Caenorhabditis elegans: one gene and its partners. The protein of the gene in region 3 purifies or fractionates together with the protein of the main gene of each other region. This does not show direct contact. Each region holds a gene or a part of one and is shown on either strand. Other genes may lie near its edges. The genes, in order: rpac-40, F43C11.8 and rpoa-2.

Evidence for each region.
Region 1: the proteins of rpoa-2 (region 3) and rpac-40 fractionate together in Caenorhabditis elegans (co-fractionation; one large-scale study listed by BioGRID). This does not show direct contact.
Region 2: the proteins of rpoa-2 (region 3) and F43C11.8 fractionate together in Caenorhabditis elegans (co-fractionation; one large-scale study listed by BioGRID). This does not show direct contact.

The regions. Positions count from the first base shown.
Region 1 is NC_003283.11:4,197,420-4,204,238, reverse strand, and holds rpac-40 (DNA-directed RNA polymerases I and III subunit RPAC1), read right to left. Parts: upstream 4,755-6,819; 5' UTR 4,749-4,754; coding exon 4,665-4,748; intron 3,946-4,664; coding exon 3,266-3,945; intron 2,223-3,265; coding exon 2,119-2,222; intron 2,067-2,118; coding exon 1,950-2,066; intron 796-1,949; coding exon 680-795; 3' UTR 543-679; downstream 1-542. Other genes in the region: algn-5 (dolichyl-phosphate beta-glucosyltransferase), read right to left, coding at 5,147-5,179, 5,826-6,014.
Region 2 is NC_003280.10:2,330,691-2,334,922, reverse strand, and holds F43C11.8 (RING-type domain-containing protein), read right to left. Parts: upstream 2,404-4,232; coding exon 2,328-2,403; intron 2,283-2,327; coding exon 2,116-2,282; intron 2,004-2,115; coding exon 1,935-2,003; intron 1,409-1,934; coding exon 844-1,408; intron 799-843; coding exon 729-798; intron 678-728; coding exon 653-677; 3' UTR 585-652; downstream 1-584. Other genes in the region: ZK1240.1 (RING-type domain-containing protein), read right to left, coding at 3,209-3,229, 3,281-3,321, 3,373-3,682, 3,737-3,791, 3,841-4,028.
Region 3 is NC_003279.8:9,280,520-9,288,618, forward strand, and holds rpoa-2 (DNA-directed RNA polymerase I subunit RPA2 homolog), read right to left. Parts: upstream 6,058-8,099; 5' UTR 6,044-6,057; coding exon 5,870-6,043; intron 5,815-5,869; coding exon 5,671-5,814; intron 5,509-5,670; coding exon 4,673-5,508; intron 4,271-4,672; coding exon 3,844-4,270; intron 3,615-3,843; coding exon 3,489-3,614; intron 3,434-3,488; coding exon 3,153-3,433; intron 2,967-3,152; coding exon 2,175-2,966; intron 1,726-2,174; coding exon 1,617-1,725; intron 1,566-1,616; coding exon 1,368-1,565; intron 1,087-1,367; coding exon 790-1,086; 3' UTR 404-789; downstream 1-403. Other genes in the region: prom-1 (FBXO47 ARM repeats region domain-containing protein), read left to right, coding at 6,928-7,054, 7,103-7,222, 7,268-7,378, 7,422-7,571, 7,618-7,745, 7,792-7,968, 8,025-8,099. UniProt on the Caenorhabditis elegans protein: DNA-dependent RNA polymerase catalyzes the transcription of DNA into RNA using the four ribonucleoside triphosphates as substrates. Second largest core component of RNA polymerase I which synthesizes ribosomal RNA precursors.

The DNA of each region.
Region 1 (6,819 bases), on a different chromosome or scaffold from region 3:
GGTATTTTTTAGAAATTATATAATTCGACAAAATATTGAATTTTTGCTAGTTTTCTAAAAACAATCGTTTTTTTTTCAATTTTCTGAAAAAAATTCGAAAACTGCCCCGTTTTTCCAGTATTTCGAAAAAGGATATTTTTTAGAACAAAATTGATTTTTCTTTTTTTCTGCAAAGAAAAGATTTTTCGCTTTTTCGATTTTCCGGAAAACCGAAAATGTTAGTTTTACAATTTTTTATTCAAATTTTGGTTTTTTTTTTTAATTTTTTGAAGAAAATTATATTTTTTCATCAGGATAGACAAAAATTGATGATTTTTAAAGTTTTGTTTCTAATTTTTCTGAAAATCGAAAAGAATTCGTTTTCCAATATTTTGAGAAAATAGCTCAAAATTTTGGAGTTTTTCCATTTTTTAATAATTTTTTTCTGAAAAAACCGAAAAAATGAATGATTTTTCTATGAACCTGTTAAAAAACTACAAAAAAAACAAATAAAAAATGGAAATTTCAACCATTTGGCCAACTAGGAGATATTTGAAGGTAAAAAAGCCACGAAAATTCATTCAAATTAAGAAAAAAGAAAGTGACGGAACAGTGTAACAACTTGAGGGGTAGTCAAACAACAACAAAAAAAAAGGATAACGAATAAAAAAATAGTAACAAAATTTCAAAAAAACGGGGATTATTGAATAAGAGCCTCGATTTGTTTGCGAAGAGAACGACACTTGATTTCCATGACTTTACAGGCTTCAACCACCAATTCAGACGATTTCAGAGCTCCAGTCGACTCTACACTGACTGAAAAAAAAACTAAAATTGCCGGAATTCAAAATTTCCGGCAAATCGGCAAACCGGCAAATTGCCAATTTGCCGAATTTGCCGGTAAAAATTGTGAAAAATTTTTTGTGTGTTTTTTTTTCAGTTTAAAAAAAAAGAAATTTGAAATTTTGGCAATTTTTTTAAATGGTTTTTTGGTTTTTTTTTGTATTTTTGAAGAAATTTTCATTTTTCTCATTGAAATATAATTTATTTTTAAATAAGTTTATAGTTTTTCCCTCTTTTTTCCTACGTTTTTTTCGGTTTTTTTTTTATATTTAAAAAAAATCGACTTTCTCAACCAAAAAAATTAGAAAACTTGGGAAAAATCGAAAAATTTCTGACGACGAAATTTTGTGTTTTTTTTTCGTTAAATTTTTTTTTCTCATCAGTTTCGATAAAATTGATTTATGGGGTTATTCAAGTAGTGTCGGAAAATTAAAAAGTGTAAAAAAATTTTTGCGAAAAAAAAAAAAAATTGCTACATTACTTGAATAACCCCATTAGAAAAAATCATATTTAATGGTTAATTTTAACCGATTTTTACTAATTTTCCACAAAAATTCGGGCCCTTGAAAAGTAGAAAATTTAGGATTTTTGTAATTTTATCGGAAAAAAGTTCGAAAAAATGGGTTTTTTTTGTGAATTTTTCAGAATTTTTCGAATTTTCCCCAGTTTCTGCTCAATTTTAATTTTCTGAACATTTTTTTTAAAAATTTTTTCGTTTTTTTTAAGTTCGAAAACTCAAAAATTTTCTTTTCCCAATTTCCAATTTTTCAACTTTTCGTTTTAAAAATTTTTTCAAAAAAAAAATCGAAAAACGGCACGTCTGTACCATGTTTCTGGCGAAAATTCTTTTTTTTTCGAAAAAAAAAGCGAAAAAAAATATATAAAAACTCCGGCTCCAAAAAAAATTACTTATACATTTTCCAAAAAAACCACTCTCAAAATTAAAAAAAAGAGTTAAAATTTGGCAAAAATATTTAAAATTTTCAAAATAAGGTTTCAAACTTTAACAAAATTGGGGTTTGTTTTTCGACAACTTTTCGTGTATTTTTTTTTGGAAAAAAAACCAAAAAAATGCGAAAAATTCATGAATTTCAGTTTTTTTTTTCGAATTCAGCCCTGCCACTAACAAATGAAATGCTGTTTGTTCTTTCCCAATTGAACAACTTTCGACAGATCTTCGTGGCGGAACACGTTACGACTGCACGTATCCTTGCGAGCATCCTTGACAACAGCAATTCGTTTGGCTGAAATTTTAAAAAAATTGGTGTGTTTCCTAAAAATTGATTTATGATCTACCTCCTTTCTTCTCGATAGCAATAACTCCCTCGCTGAATACTGATTTGAGACGTTCGGCAGCTTCACCCGAAATTTCGGCGTTCAAGCGGATCGTTGGAAGCAGTCTGGAATGAAAAGAAATTTTTTGAAAAATTGGAAGAATTTGAAGGTCAAATTGGCAAACCGGCAAACCGGCAAATTGTGTTTTTGCACATTTTTTTTGGAAATTTCAGATTTTCAATTTCAATCGGCTAAATTGTACGCATCCTATAAATGTTCCTACATGTATTTTGAAAAGTAGGCAAATTCTATGAAAATTTCCGGCAAACCGGCAAATCGTCAATTTGTCAAAAATGAAAATTCCGGCAAATCGGTAAACCGGCAAATTGCAGAAAATGAAAATTCCGGCAAATCGGTAAACCGGCAATTAACCGAAATCGAAGTTTCCGGCAAATCGTCAAACTGGCAAATTGCCGAAAAAGAAAATTTCCGGCAAATCGACAAATCGGCAAATTGCTGAAAATGAAAATTTCCAGCAAATCGCCGAAAATGAAAATTTCCGGCAAATCGACAAATCGGCAAATTGCTGAAAATGAAAATTTCCAGCAAATCGCCGAAAATGAAAATTTCCGGCAAATCGACAAATCGGCAAATTGCTGAAAATGAAAATTTCCAGCAAATCGCCGAAAATGAAAATTTCCGGCAAATCGCCGAAAATGAAAATTGCCGAAAATAAAAAAAAATTGGCAATTTGTCAAATTTGTCGACAAAAAAATTCACCTCTGGCTTGAAATTTTCGAACTTTTTTTTCCACAAAATTACAGAAAACAGTCTAAATATACTGAATATAGGTAGATGTACAAAAATTATTTAACTTCCCCAAAATATCTCGTAGCGAAAACTACAGTAACTCTTTAAAAGCTACAGTAGTCATTTAAAGAATTACTGTAGTTTTCGCTACGAGATATTTTGCGCGTCAAAAATTTTGTGTAATACGCATTCTCAGAATTTGGGGTCCCGTAAAACCGAAAATATATTATATGAATTATAATTTTTTTCCCCCCAATTTTTCACTTTTTCCGAGAAAATCGAAAAACGAAAAATTTTCAATTTTCCGGAAAACCGCAAAAATCAAAAGAAAATATTTCAGCAGCTTCAAAATTCACACCTATAGGACGCAGTAGCAACCGGTGAGAACTTTGCATGATCCCGTCCGATTCCCTTGACCGCATGGCAACTGGCTTCAATTTCCTGTCCAGGACGAAGCTTGGCAACGAGAATATCATCAGAAACCATACGTGGATGGGCTTCTTCGGTGAATTGCGTCTTCTGATCAGCAATCGGTACCCATTCAAAAGCACGTGAGTAGACCGAGCTATTGTGATAAAGCTGCTTCGGATCGGTAGCCGTCGGCACCGCATTTCGATTCTTCGTACACGAAACATTAATCTTGAAGATCAAATTTTTCGCGGGATCTCCCTCGGGCTCCTCGTCACAATCCACTCCCTTCTCATTGATTCCAACGACTTTTTCCTTTGGAAACTGAAATCCACGTGGATCCACACGAAGCGGCAGAAGACCCAAACGATGGCAGAGTACTTCATCTTGAATTACAGAAGTATTCTGATAGAGATAAATCTTCTCGAGAGCCATCGTTGGCACTTCGGCGATGAGCACACGGCGAAGAGCATTTGCAATTGGAGCTTCAATGCGAGTAATATCAAATTCCAATGTCATTCCATCGTCGGATTCATTGACCATTGCCACTTGGATTTGATCGCAATACTCGTTGATATCGAATTGTTTTGTATCGTCGTATTCGACATAATCGGTGCATTCGTCGTAGGTCTGGAATTGAAGAAGAATTTTTGGAAAATTTAAAAAAATAAAAATTTCGGCCGAAAAGCAAAAAATCGAATTTCTTCAAAAAAAAAAAACAAAAAAAAATATTGACCAGAAATGTCGGTTTTTTGGTTTTTTTTTCCTTTTTTTTTTGAGACGAAAAAATTGGCAAAAAAATTTTCCCGTGGTGGAGAGTTGAACTCAAACTGCTGCGAGTGAATATAAGCATTGACTCCATCTTCGATTTGCTGTTCAAGCGTGGGCGTTTTTAGCTTCTTGCTCTTCGGTCCGGAGGACATCGCGACAACGACGTTACGCGTGGTGAAAAATACACGCAATCCGCTTTTTTTTTGTTCATTTTTTCTTTGGTTTGTGTTTTTTTTTTCCAAAAAGTTGAAAAAATCGAAAGTTAATTTTTTCTTGGTTTATCTCACAATTTTAAATTTTTTCAATTTTTTTTGAAAAAAAGTAATCTTTCACTAATTTCCGGCAGTTGATAAATCGCCGCCTTTTTTCGTAAATTTGTATAACAATTTTTTTCGGAAAAATAACGATTTTCAATAAAAAATTGGAATTTTTTAAAATTTTTCTGGACGAAATTTTAAAAAAATACGGAAAATGCTTTTGCCGCCTGATTTCCTAACGAGACCCAACGTTTGGGGGCGGAGCGCTCTCGTTTCCCAATGGAGCGCGATTGCATCCTTGAAATATTCAAAAAATCCTACATTGAGCACAACTTCCTCTTTCATCTCGATCTCATCACTGTGATAGGTAGCCTGCTTGCTAGTTGCCGCCGCTTTTTTGACCATTTTTGCCTGGAAATTTTTTGATTTTTTTCGCCTGAAAACTCTATGGAAAGATATAAAATCGCTGGGAAAACGAAAAAAAAAACAAAAAAATGGAAAAAAACATTTAAATCGATATTTTTTTGAATTTAGCATTAAAAATAAACCCAGAGTCCCCAGAACAAGAGAGAAAAAAAAGAAAAACCAACAAGTAAATAAATAAATAATAAAAATGCGAAAAGAAAAAAGAATAGAATCACATTTTCAAGGAATCATGGATATTTACAACCAGCCATAAATTGGAAAAAAAATCAGGAAAAAGCAGGGAAAAAAAGTGATTAAAGCATAGATATTACTAGAAGAAAAAGGAAATTTTTGGGCAAGATTTTTTGAAAATCTCGTATCGATTTTTTGTGGAGCATTTAGCGAGGCTGGTCATCCGTCCAAATTCCGATCTGAAAATAAAATTTTAATGTCAAAAATATTGTCAGGTCGCTCTACCGCACACGAAAATGGCGGGAAAATATTTTTTGAAAATTTGTGACGTCACACAGCGCATTTTGAATAATTGCTTTTGTTCAATTTAAGCGCCGATTTTCGTGAAATTTTTTTAAAAACTGGCTCATTTTAATTTATAAAATTTGATATTTTACAAAAATTCTAAAATTTAGTGGAGAAATTGAAGCAAAATACAATAAAAATGAATAATTTCAATTTAAACAAAAATTTATTTGGAAAATCATTTTTAAAAAATTCACGGAAACTTGGTAAATGAACGGTTTAAATGGTTTTTCGAAAAAAAAAATTCGTTTCAATTGAAATTATTCATTTTTATTGTGTATTTTGCTTCAATTTTTCCACTAAATTTTAAGAATTTTGGTAAAATATCAAATTTTATAAATTAAAATGAGAAAGATATTATTTATTTATTTTTTTTTTAAGTTTGACAAAAATCGGCGCTTAAAATTAAGAAAATTATTCAAGATACGCTGTGACGTCACAAATTAAAAAAAAAATATTTTCCCGCCATTTTCGTGTGCAGTAGAGCGATGGGACATCCTGACACCACTTCAAAAAAGGCCTAAAAAACTGCAATTTTACCGTATATCTGAACCAAATGAGCACAAGATCTCGGCCCATTTGAAGCCAAGACCAAATTGGAGTAATCTTAGACCCTTCGATTTCAGTCCATCGAACTGAAACTTCTTTCACAGGGACCGTCCATCTTTCGCAAAGGAAGATGAGCTCAACGTCAAAAGCCCAGCGCTCAATGTGAAGTACTGGGAAAATCTGAAAAAAAAACGTTTTTTTTTTTTGGTTTTTTTTACTTTAATTTGACGAATTTTAGCTAAAATCTTAAATCAGGAATTGAAAATTTTCGGCAAATCGGCAATTTGCCGGAATTGAAAATTTCAGGAAAATCAGCAATTTGCCGGAATTGAAATATCCGGTAAATTGACAAATTGCCGTTATTGAAAATTTCCGGCAAATCGACAAATCGGCAAATTTCCGGAATTGAAAATTTCCGGCAAATCGGCAAACTTCCGGAATTGAAAATTTCCGGCAAATCAGCAAATTGCCGGAATTGAAAATTTCTGGCAAATCGGCAAATTGCCGGAATTGAAAATTTCCGGCAAATCGGCAAACTTCCGGAATTGAAAATTTCCGGCAAATCGGCAAATTGCCGGAATTGAAATTTCCGGCAAATCGGCAATTTTGCTGAATTTAAAATTTCAGGAAAAATGGCAAACCGACAAATTGTCGATTTGACGAATTCGCCTGAAACACGGCAATTGCCGAAAATTTTCGGCAAATTGTGGTTTTGCACATTTTTGGAAATTTCAGAGGTTAAGAAAAATCCCTGTAAAAACTTGCGGCAAATTGGAATCCGGCAATTTTCGAGAATTTAAAATTTCCGGCAAATCGGCAAACCGGCAACTTGCCGACTTGCCGAATTTGTCGACAAAAAAGTCTGCCAATTTTTTAAACATTTTCTCCCAAAAAGAAAAAAAAATTCGAACATATATATATATATATAATAGTCGATTTCCGACCACTACGACCCCAAAAAGTAGGCCAAAATTGGAGATTTTTA
Region 2 (4,232 bases), on a different chromosome or scaffold from region 3:
CTTTTGGCAAATAGGCAAATCGGCAAATTGCTGCACTTGAAAATTTCCGGCAAATCGGCAAATCGGCAAATTGCCGGAATTTAAAACTAACTTACCAGTTTGCCGAATTTGCCGGAAAAACGGCAACTGTGGAACATTTTTTGCCAAATTGTGGTCTTGCACATTTTTTTGGAAGTTTCAGAATTTCAATTTTAATCGGTAAAATTGTACGCATCCTATGAATCTTCTTATATCTATTTTGAAATTGCCAAAATTGAAAATTTCCGGCAAATTGACGCAGTTGAAAATGTCTTCAAATCGGCAAACCGGAAAATTGCCGGAATTAAAAAATACCGATGAATTGGCAAACCAGCAAAATGCCGAAATTGATAATTTTCGGCAAATCGACAAACCGGCAAATTGCTGAAATTAAAAATTTCCGGCAATCGGCAAATTGCCAAAATTGAAAATCTCCAGCAAATTGCCGCATTTGAAAATTTCCGGCAAATCAGCAAACCGGCAAATTTGCCGATTTGCCGAATTTGTAGAAAAAAAACTCTGAAAAAGATTGGCCCATGTCTGTTCGCTTTTGAAGCGCAACAAAATCATCAATCACATTTTTATTTATGTACAAACATTTTCAATTAAATATCCTATAAAACCGTCGTTGGCATCAATCAGAGCAGCTAGCAGGTTGTCTGAAAAAAAAAACTTTTATATAAAAATTCATATTTCTCTCGTTAGCTTACCTCCTAGCCCTGCAAAATTCTTCAAACTCGCGAGACAAATTGTTGTCAATTCTAGAAACTTTCGTGACTTCTGAAAAATCCAATTTTTCCAATCAATATTTTTTCAAAGACCTACGTATGACAAGCCTATCCATCTCTGGAAAAATCAGTGCTGCGTCAAAAACTTCAGGCTCAACATCAGCAAATTCAGTCCAGAGCTCATTCTCGCTGCTCACTTCCAGCGCAGAATTCACCGCGAGCAAATCTGCATTGCTCATTTTCATAAACAGCTTCAGCTCCGCACTTTTTCGCTTTTGCCGGTTCAAGGATTCCGATAGCTCTGCGATGAGCAGGTCGTTCGTGAAAAAGTTAGTTTCCGCGATGTTCTGAAGCGTCGCAAGAGCATCGTTTTCGAGAGCATCCAAGGTTTCTCGTATTGAAGCGTAGAAGGCTATTATCGAAACCTTTTTCTCTTGAAATACCTCCCCATCGTCGAGATTTGTTAGCTGAGCTGTTCCGATCTTTTCGATATTCGCATCAATTTTACTTGCCAGGTCTTCGGATCTTGAAAGCTTCCCGCTCAGAAACTGTCTCAACTTTGCCGCTTCTGATTGTAGTAGGCCTCGATTGTGTCCGGCGTGAGCTCCAAACTCTTCGCAGGTACGGCACATGAGCTTATCGCTAGATGAGCAGGTGGGCTCCTGGAAAGAATGCTAGTTTCTCAGGCAAGAAGAGGTGCATTTGGCTCTAGCTTCTGGCCCAAGTTTGGCGCAAAAAATAATAACTTGTTTCAGACGTTGAGCAAAAGTTGGGCAAAACTTGGATTCAAACTCCACCAAAGTTTAAAAAAAGGTTCAACCAACTCTGCCAAACTTCTACATAAGTTTGAAACGAAATAAGAGAAGTTTGGGCCAAACCTTTGGTGCAGCCTGAATCCGAGTTTTGCCAAAGTTTTGCCCAAGTTTAGCAAACTTCTGATCCAAGCTAATATTTTTTGGGCAAAACTTGGCCAAGAATTTATAGCCAAATGCCGAGCTTGACCACAAAAGTTGAGCAAAATCTAGGCCAAGACTTTGGCCTGAACTAGGCTCCCACGTACCATTATTTTTTGGCTATTAACCTCGCACTCTCAGAAACCGGCGAGTTGTCGGCTGCTAATAGTAAGTTTTTTAAAAAATTTTTTACAGTTGACATTTTGGGGCCTATCAAAACCTATAAAGAACTCACAATGCACACAAATTCCGCAAAATTGTACTGGTGAGAAGCGCATTTTGGCGGTGAATCAATGGGATCTTTCTGAAAAATTTTATATTTGTATATAAATATATATATGTATATATAAATATATATATGTATATATATATATATATATATTTATATGTATAACTTTATTTCTAGAAAAAAAAACCTCTTCAGTTCTAGTCTTAGCGTGTTCAACTGCCTGTAACAATGCAAAATTCTTCTGCAAATCCTTCACTGTACTGACATTAGTTGCTTCCCGGCAGAATGGACATAAAATCATAGAGTTTTGGAGCAATTTTTCTGCACAACCATGGCAAATTGTGTGGCCACATCCTGAATTTTTATTTTTTAATTTTAGGAAAGGTAGCAAAAGCTTACTCAAAATCCTAGGAATATTTTCATCGGTGGCACTTGAGAAATCTTCGTTGCAAATTTCACACTCAATAAATGACATTTCGGAACTGTACGGAGGGTTGGAAAAATAAACGAATGGTCTTGGGAGTTCTCCCGCTGACACTGCGATAAGACGATAACAATTTGGTGACCAAGAATACACGGAAACCGGTAAATATTTTTTGCTGACTCATATCAGTTTAGATACACCATTTTCAACACTATTGCTAATTCTATGTGGTCAGTTACTACGGATTTCGTAATAGTTTTTCGTAAAATAAAACGTTTTCAGAGCCTGGCGCCTGCCTGAAACCTGCCGAGCACCTATAGCACTGTTTGTACGGGAGCGGGCTTATTTTAGAAAAATCGAAAAATCGAAAATTTTCGTTTTTTTTTTTGATTTTTCGAAATTTTTTTCTCTTATCAATAGAAAAAAAATTAGATAAAAATCGTATTTTATGATTAATTTTTAGATCATTTTTTTTTTCGATTTTTGGATTTTCCGGAAAATCGAAAAAACGTAAATTTTTGTTTTCCGATTTTCAAGTTTTCGAGACTTAGGCTTAGGCTTATGCTTAGGCTTTGATTTAGGCTTAGCCTTTGGCTTAGGATGAAGCTTAGGCTTAGACTTAAGCTTAAATGTAGGCTAGGCGGAGAAAAAAGAGATAAAAAATAAATCCTAGAAAATATGAGAACTCAGAAAAATAAAATACCAAAAAATTAGACATTTCAAAAATTTATATTGCCCGAAAAGGGCCAAAAAAATCAGGATTGGAGAGTTGAATTTTCGGTTGTTTATCGGTATTTGTACAAAGTAAAAAATGATTGAAAACTTTAAAACCAAAAAACTGCCTTGTTTGGAACATTCAAAGCCACAGGGTTATATTCTGAAATTCATGTACCTATAATACAAATGCTAAATTATCATTAAAACCTACATCTGGCTCCAGAGAGCTTGACATTGAAGCATTTGCCACATCTACAAAACTTCCTGACATTGATCTACCAACTTCCTTCCAAATCCACTTACCCACAGCTAACCTGTTCACTTCTGGAAAATTTAATGCTACATCAAACTGAATAGGCTCAACTTCTGTATTTTCCGAGTCATCCCAGAGCTGAATTTCTGAATTTAGAGCTAACAAATCCGCGTTGCTCATTCCCAGAAACGACTTTAATTTCTCGTTTTTCAATTTCTGGGTTTCCAGGGATTCCGACAATTCTTCTAGTAGTAATTTATTGCTAGCTGAATTGGATTCTGCAATTTCGCGTAGTTTTTGATTTGCAAGGGCTTCCTGGGCATCTAAGGTCTCTCGTATTGAGGTATAGTAGACGGATATCTGAAAATGTTCTGGAATTGTATTTCGTCCCCGTTTCAAAAAAAAATCACTAACCAAATCTTTTTTATCTTGAAACACCTTCCCATCTACTTGATTTGTTTGCTGGGCGCTGAAATTTCAGCGAGCTAAAATTGTGATCTACCGCTTTTTAAACTAACCTGTCAACCTCTTCAATGTTCTTGTCAATTTGAACAATCTGATCTTCGGACTTTAAAAGCTTATCTTTGAGCAACGTTCTCAATTTCAAAGCTTCCGTCTGTAGGAGGCCCTTCGAGTGTCCGGCGTGAACTCCAAACTCCTCGCAAGTTCGGCACATTAGCTTTTCGTCGGAGGAGCAGTTGGGGTCCTGGAAGGAGAATTAAGGAAGGTTCTCGAAGATTCCAGAATTTTTCTTAAATTTCCCAGAAGGTTCTAGATCATTCTAGAGTTTTTTTGAAAATTGCTAGAAGGTTCTAGAACATTCCAAAATTTTCTAAAATTTTCCAGAATGATCTAGAGCATTACAGAATTTTCTCGAATTTTCCAGAAGGTTCTAGAACATTCCAGAATT
Region 3 (8,099 bases):
ACAGCCTGCAAAAAAGAGGTTTATGGCTTCTCGTCTCGAATTACACGTTTTTCGCTTTTCCATCGCCGTTTTGTTCTCAAAAAAATGCTGACATGATTTTTACACATCAAAAACGTGCCGTTCCACGTTTCTGCCGCAAAATAAAAACAGAAAAAAAGCTCTCGATGCTCCTTGAACATGCCACGTCATAACCTAGGAAGTTTTCACCCACGAAAAAAAAATGAAAAAGAAAGGCACAGAGGTATGGGGGAGCGCGGGGAAAATGGGAACATGGCCGCCAGGGGCTTATTGGAGCAGAAAGAGCACAGAGCAAGAGCAAAGAGAGAGTGGAAAAAGAGGCAGTGCGCGGAAAAACGGAAATTTAGCAAAAAAAATCAAAGAAGTGTGTGGAGAGAGGGGAAGGTTGCAGAGTGCTTAATGTGATTTACTTAAACATATAAAATGTATAACAACAACTTTATGGAATATTGAGGAACAAAAACTCAAACAAAAAACAAAACAAAAAGTGAACAATAGAAACAGAATAAATTGGATGAGGGTAAACAAAAAAGTAACAAAAATTGCTAAAATCGGCTAAAAATCAAAAATTTCAGAAAAGGTTCAACAATAAAACAACTTGCAAAGAGAAAATAACAAAAAATAGACAAAAACCGTGAGATTGTTGTAGGATAGGGGACGGAGAATATTAAAGTGTAGTGTAAAAGAAATTTTTTAAAAATCAAAGTTTAGAGAACTGCATGAAGTTTTCAGTATTTCTATTATGAAGGAAATGTTGAAAAAATAATGAAATTAACTTCCAGTTACTTTGGATGGATGTTCGATGCCCAACTTGATTTTCACATTCATTGCAGCTAACTCGGCAGTCAAATAACGGAAGACACGAGGAACTTGAAGCAGGAAAACTTGATCATCTTTATCACACGTACGACATCGTTGAGTTTCCGTGTAGTCCAATGGTTCGTCGTCTTTCCTTTTCTTTTTCAATAAATGTGATCCTGCACGACTGGACATCAACACGGACAATAGGGATCCACAACGACGACAAGCGTATGCTACGTCACGATCCGAACAGTTGAGAAGACGGTCCTGGAAATTAAAATATCAGTACAATGAAGTTAGTGTTGTCGCTTTTTCGATTTTTTTGAGTATTGAAAAATCGAAAACTACTAGTTTTCCAATTTTGTTCAAAACTTCGATTTTTCAAAAAAAAAACAGATGTAAACTTTGACCAATTTTCTTCTTTTAAGATTAACTTTTTTTTTAGTTTTCTGAACATTTTTTTCCGATTTTTCAGTTTTTTTCCCTGAAAAAAACAGAAAAATCTAAAAAATTTTCGGTGTTATTTTTAAACATAGAAATAAAAGTACCTGCAACACGAAAGATGTTCCATGTGCAATAATAGCATCTCTTTCCATTTCTCCAAATCGAATACCTCCTCCCTTTTTTCTTCCTTTTACTGGTTGATGAGTAATTGGATCAATTGGTCCAGTGGCTCTCACTTGGAATTTATCAGCAATCATATGACGAAGTCTTTGATAATAAACAATTCCAAAGAAGATTTGCATCTGTAATTATGAAAAATGTTAATTTTTCAAACGATAAATTCTAATATAAACCTCCATTTGACGTCCATCAACTCCCGAATAAAATGTTTCGTTACCGTAGTAATTATAACCTGCTTTTGTGAGTAATTCTCCAAAATGGTTGATTGCTGTGTTGTCTTCACTGAAAAATCAAAACATTGTTAAATGGAAAAAGAATCGAAAAAACGTAACTGTAACTGTTAAAAACTTTTCTAATTTTTTTAAATTTTTCTATTTTGCAAAAAAATAATTATTTTCGAATTTCCGCGAAACTGAAGGTACTGGTTAAATTGATCAGTTTTTATTTTTAATATATAATTTTAAACACTGTTAGTCTATTTTTCAGGACATTCTCCGTAAAGAAAACTTCGTCGAATCTGAAAAACAGTTGGCCCAAAAATCGATACTTCCACAAGAATGTATTATTTATTTTAACGGAAAAGTCAGAAAAATTGACAAGCCGTGTTTCAATTTGATATTTATTTGCACGGGAATTCAAAAATTAGTCGGCCCATTTTTTAAAATTAATTTTGAAAAATAATTTTAGAGATTTAGAATTATTTTCAAATTTTCAAACAGTGAATAACTTACTTGAAAACAAATGGCGATGCATCATAATTCTCTCCGTGCGTAGCTGCCGCTTTTCCAGCCATACTCTCAATCATCATACCGATTGTCATCCGAGATGGGAAACCGTGAGGATTGAAAATAATATCAGGTACCATACCGGTTTCTGAGAATGGAAGTGATTCAACAGGCCATAGGAATGAATTAATTCCTTTTTGTCCGTGTCTCGAAGCGAATTTATCACCGATAATTGGATTTCTCTCAATTCTCCATTGAATCAAAGCATGTTTTGCACCAGAATCGCCTTCTCCTTGTTCAACAATTCTCACCAAACCACAATATGCCGGTTCAGCGTAATGGAATTTATGAGTTCTGAAATCTCCAGTTTCCATATTGAATGTGACATAATACACTTCATCGAGGAAATATCGTCTTCCTGGAATCGGCAAACCATCTGGTCCAACGGTTTTGATTTCTTCTCGGGGATTTCTATAGAAAATCGTTTTTCGTTCTCTCTCGGTCACCAAATTAATTCTCTCCACTTTGATAACTGTTCCATGTGCAAAACCTCTTTGATATGATGCTTTATTGATTGTCATAGCATCTTCCATATCATATCCTGTATAGGAGATCACAGCAACACAAGCATTTGTACCCAATGGATATTCATCCATTTCGTATTTCTCATAAGCCTCCAGTTTTAGCATTGGTTGTTGTGGAAATTGTAGACGATACATTTTGTTGTCAGCACGTGAATGCCATGCATGTACGGCGGTTCCCATCGTTTGTTTACCCATTTGACATTGGTACACATTACTGGAAAAACGTTTAATTATTTTTATTTAAAGTCAAAAAGTGATGAAAACTCAATTTTCACCTATCAAGATTCAAAAGTCCCAATTTTTAGAAATTTTGCAAATTTAAAAATAATCTAATTTTTTGAAGTCATATTTTTAGACTAAATCTCCACTACTACAACTGGAAACTCTAACGAAAACTTACCGTGGTGACTGATTATGATCTGGGAAAGGAATTAAATTTCCAGCAAATGAAAATAAGCAAGAAGGATGCAATTCTTGATGCATAGTGACTCCTGGTTCAGCCTCTTCTGGATCAAGTACAACTGAGAGATAAACTTGTTCAAAAGTTCCGATATGTTCAACAGCATCCATTGCTAGATTACGTACTGGACGAATGAGACGTCCAGCGTCACTGAGAATGTAGATTCCTGGATATTGAGTTTGAATATTCTTGATATCCGTGGATCGACGAACAAGTGCAATCTGAAAAAAAAAGAAAATATAATTCATTCTTCAAAATAGTTTAGAAAAACAGTACCTCCGAAGTATAAGGAATTCTTGCATCTTTCGCAACTTTTGCACATCGTAGATATCTCTCAATTGAAGCAGCTTTAGTAATTGGAACATATCCAAGGAATCTTCCATTCATTAGAACTGGATAAAGCTGTAAATTATGATTTAAATTTGAAAATAGAGTTATTAAAGGTTATTTCATTTAAAGCTTAAAAATTGCCTGGAAATTGCAGATTGCCAATTATCGAGCTTCGTTTTTCTGCAATTTGCAACTTCCAGGCTATTTCTGAGCCCTTTTCAAATATTTCAACTGAAATAAGTGTTATTTTCATATAAGGAAATTTTTAAAATATGCTTTATACTTTAATAAATTGTTTTACCTCTTCACCTGGCGGTGCCAATGCAACAGTTTTGTGTGTATACATTCCCAATTCAGCAAGAAGCGACGGAACATTTGAATTATCAGAGAGATCAGTGACAATTCTACATGATGCAGTTACGTGATTCAATAAACCACATGGAGCTCCATCAGGAGTGTGTACAGGACAAATAAATCCCCATGCTTCTGGTCTCAATTTTCTAACATCTGTGGTTCGCATTTCCATAAAGAATGCACCACGATGAATTGCACGGAAGTGAGAAACGAAACGAAGTTGATTGATTCTTTCAGCGATAACTGAGAAACCAGATTCTTGTTGAAGAGCAAGACCGACACGAGTCACAAGATTTCCTGTTGCAAGGAAATATGCCATTCCACGAGTGATTTCACCACCAGTATGATTTCCAAGTGCTTTTAGAATAGCGGCGCTGAAAGTTAGAATGTTTATGCCAAACGGAAGATTTAAAAGTTAGAGCTCCGAAATCTGAGACTTTGCTCTTTTTTATGACCCAAAACTACCAAATAAATATTTTAATACATATGTTGGTCGTCGTTTCATTGAATTAGGTACATTTACGTAGATTTAGGTGCGTCTAAGGGTGCACAAAATTGTCGACTTACAGTTAGAAAGCTTCCGAAACAACGGAACAATACATAATAAATTACCAAATTATGCATTAAAGAGTGATAATCAAATAAAAATGTACTTTGGCAACTTTAACAAATTGGCAAAATTTGAGATTATAGCCTATTCTTCTTTGAGAAATTTTCAGAATGCTTAATTTTTAAAAAATCGGTAGTTCTAGGACATTTTTGGTAAATGAACTTACGATGTCAAAATGAAGTCCTTCCTTGAACTCATGTACTCCAATTTTCTCCTAACCATTCCAATGATATTCTCCATTCGTTCTCTCAGAATCAACAAAAGAATATGTCCTGAAACAGAGGCCTCTTGGAATTGTGGATTATCAGGTGTCTCTGGAGCACATTCTCCTTTCACAAGTGCAATGAGTTTCTGTGTCATGTACGCAAGAGTATGGAATTTCTCTTCATCACTATCCAAATGTATAAGTACACATTCCCGAATGATGAATCGACCAGCTTCAAGATCATCTTCCCATGGAGCAACTCTATCAGATACGGCTACTCTGAAACGAGAACCGATGGCTCTAATGGCGGCTTCTTGATTCAAAATTTCTTCTTCTTGACATTGAGCAAGCATATTGAGAATGCAAGATGAATAGAATTGATCTTGATTTCTTCCTCTTTTGAATCCAGCACTAATCACTGCATCATTCTTATCAGTTAAAGCCTTCACAATATACATCAACGGTACATAAAAGATTTCCCGTCTGAATTGAAGTGCTAACTGCATAGTTCCAGTGTCCAAATAATGAAGAGTCATCATTACAGCCGTATGATTTTCCTTAACACTTCTCATCATAACTCCAAATTCCGAGAACAATTTTCCTTTCTCTTTGAATGTTTTTCTGATAATTGCGATTGGAAAGTTTCTTCGATTCGCGATCAGCAATCTAATCACTTTTTCTGATCCATTTACAATGAAATATCCTCCTTTTTCGATTGGCTCTTCACCGGCAACTACAAGTTCCTTTCGAGACATTCCACGGAGATGGCAACCTTCGGATCGGAGCATAATTGGTACCTAAATATTTTGTTGTATAGTATTTTCTTTTTCTAATATTTGCTTGGAGAATTCAGAAAATGAAAATTTAACCTCGAAACAAGTATTTTATTTCTTAACTTTTAACTTTTTCGAAGGAAGGTGACCCAATTCTTACTTTCAACGCAGTATTTATAGAATTACCTTTCCCAAAATAATTTCAATAATGTCCAACCGGCTTCCGTTCACATGGACATCGATTCCAACTTTTAAATTTCCAGCATATGTCAGTCCACGTTGTCGACATTCCGCGGGAAGTAAAGGAAGAGTGTCACTGGTGAGCTTCGCCTGAAAATTGATTTTTAGAATTTTCAATATTTAAGATTGCAGATCAAATACTTACTCCGGTATCTAGCGTTGGCTTATGAAGTTGAGCCGACGTGAACTTCATTGTAACAGCATCGCCGTTTTTCAGACGGAATTTTTCTGCAGGAACAGCTTGGGCAGCAAATTGACATCCTTTTGAAACAAGAAAATCGAATGAATCGACATGATACGACGCTATGTCGCAGTCCATCGCCTGAAAACTTGAAAGTTTAAATGAATAATTTTTCGAACTAATACAAATGTTATAATAAAATGAAAACTACATATTCAAATGTATTTGATTATTAAATAAAAGATTTAGGGGTTGGCGAGCAGTAAAAATTAGAAATGGAAGAGAAGGAGCGACAGCCACTGTTCAGTTCGGCCACAATTCGAGGGGAAAAGAGAGGGAAAAGAAAAATGAAGAGTTAGATGAAAACTAGACGATAACAGCCTGAACTTGATTATTTCTCCAATGATAAAGGAATACGAAAACTTTCATGAAACAAACTCAAAATAAGTATTGGGACATATTATACGAAAAAATCGCGAAAACGCAAATATTGGTTATAAATACATTTATTATGAACTTGCAAATAAAATTTAATCAAACAAATCGATGAGAAAACCGCAGGAAGTTATCGGCCCACTAAACGAACGTATTATTCAGAAAATAACGGCGGATTTTAACAGCCATGAAGTTAAGGAAACGATTTTGAGTTTCTGCAGCAGTTTAATTTATAAGGAATAAAATTTAAATGAACAAGTGCTTCAAAATAATCGATTAAAAAAGAGGAAAGTGAAGAAAAGTTCGAAAAGAACCGAAAAATCGATCGAAGCCAAAGAACGAATTAAAGGCGCATTGCTTTTGTCATATGGGTCTCGCCACGACTTTTATGGGTACTGTAGTGGGGGTGTGTTCAAATTTCAAATCAATTCGAATTCCCGCCTAAATGCGAGTGACCTATATTTTGCCTCATTTTTTTTTGTTTTTTCTTGTTTTTTTAGTTTTTGATCATTTATGTGAAATATTTTTAATGTCAAGTTCTTTCTGGTCTATTACTTGATAATATCAAGCCATTTTCAGAATCCAAAATGGATAAATCAACACCCAGGCGGACTTACAATTTGCGGAGTGCTGATCGAACAACACAAAACAGTCCAGTTTCCAGACAAAGTCTAGAAAATCATCGCAATGCTTCAGTGTCTCTAAGAAAAAGAAGTAGTACTTCTTCACTTCAACGCATTCAATCAGAGTTTACATTTACAGATTCAGCCACAGAGGAACGATGTTCTCGTAAAAGACGAAGAACACAGCAAACACATGGATTACCTTTTTCATCGCCAGATGCTATTAATCATCAACGAGCATTTCATCTCGATGAGCACAGTAAAAAAATCACAAGTATTCTCCAACATACATTTTTAATTCCAGAAGTATGTTCAAAGCTTACTACAAGATTGTCGATTGAGGTGGAGACGTCGTATGGAAGTTTCGGTAAACTACCTTATGATGCCGTCATCCACATATTGACAAGAACACCATGTATGTGGTAAAATATATTTAACTTGTAGAATTAATTATTCAGACAATCTTCTAAGTCGCATGGTAATGACATCTTCCTGCTGGAATCAAACAATCGGAGCATATATGAGAAGTGGAGCTTTTCGTCGTCGCTGGCTGTTAGACATTGACATTGCGCCAAGTTCTAAACCATTGGATCCCTTCTTTGATATGGGTCAGTAACATCAACGATTTGTCTCAAACTTTCTTGTTAATTTCAGGAAAACTCGTGAGGTGCCTGACGATAAATTATGAATGGAAAGCGAGGCTAGATTGTCTGAAATCGTTTATGACACTGGCGTACGAGTCAGGTGCTCTGATTGCCGGACTTGGCAAGATGATTCATGCGGTACTATTCGTTATGCCTTGATTATTTTGAAAAATTAATTTATCAGTTCACAAATCGCCCAGACGAAGACATTGTATTGGAGCAAATTGATGACATCGTTGCCATGCTCTTGGCGCTAGTTAGTGGTCTGAAAGATGACTTGAGTGCTGTTCTTTTCACCCCCGAAACGGATCGAGAGCTGGAAGAATTAGATAATATGCCAATTCTTCGCGAAGAGATGAAGGTTTGTATCTAGGAGAACATACATATTTTCCAGTTTTAAATATTAAATATTTTCAGTTGCGGAAAAAGACATTGAATTTGTTCTTGAATAATGGATCGTCGGACCCAGCTCATGGTGTTAATAAATATTTC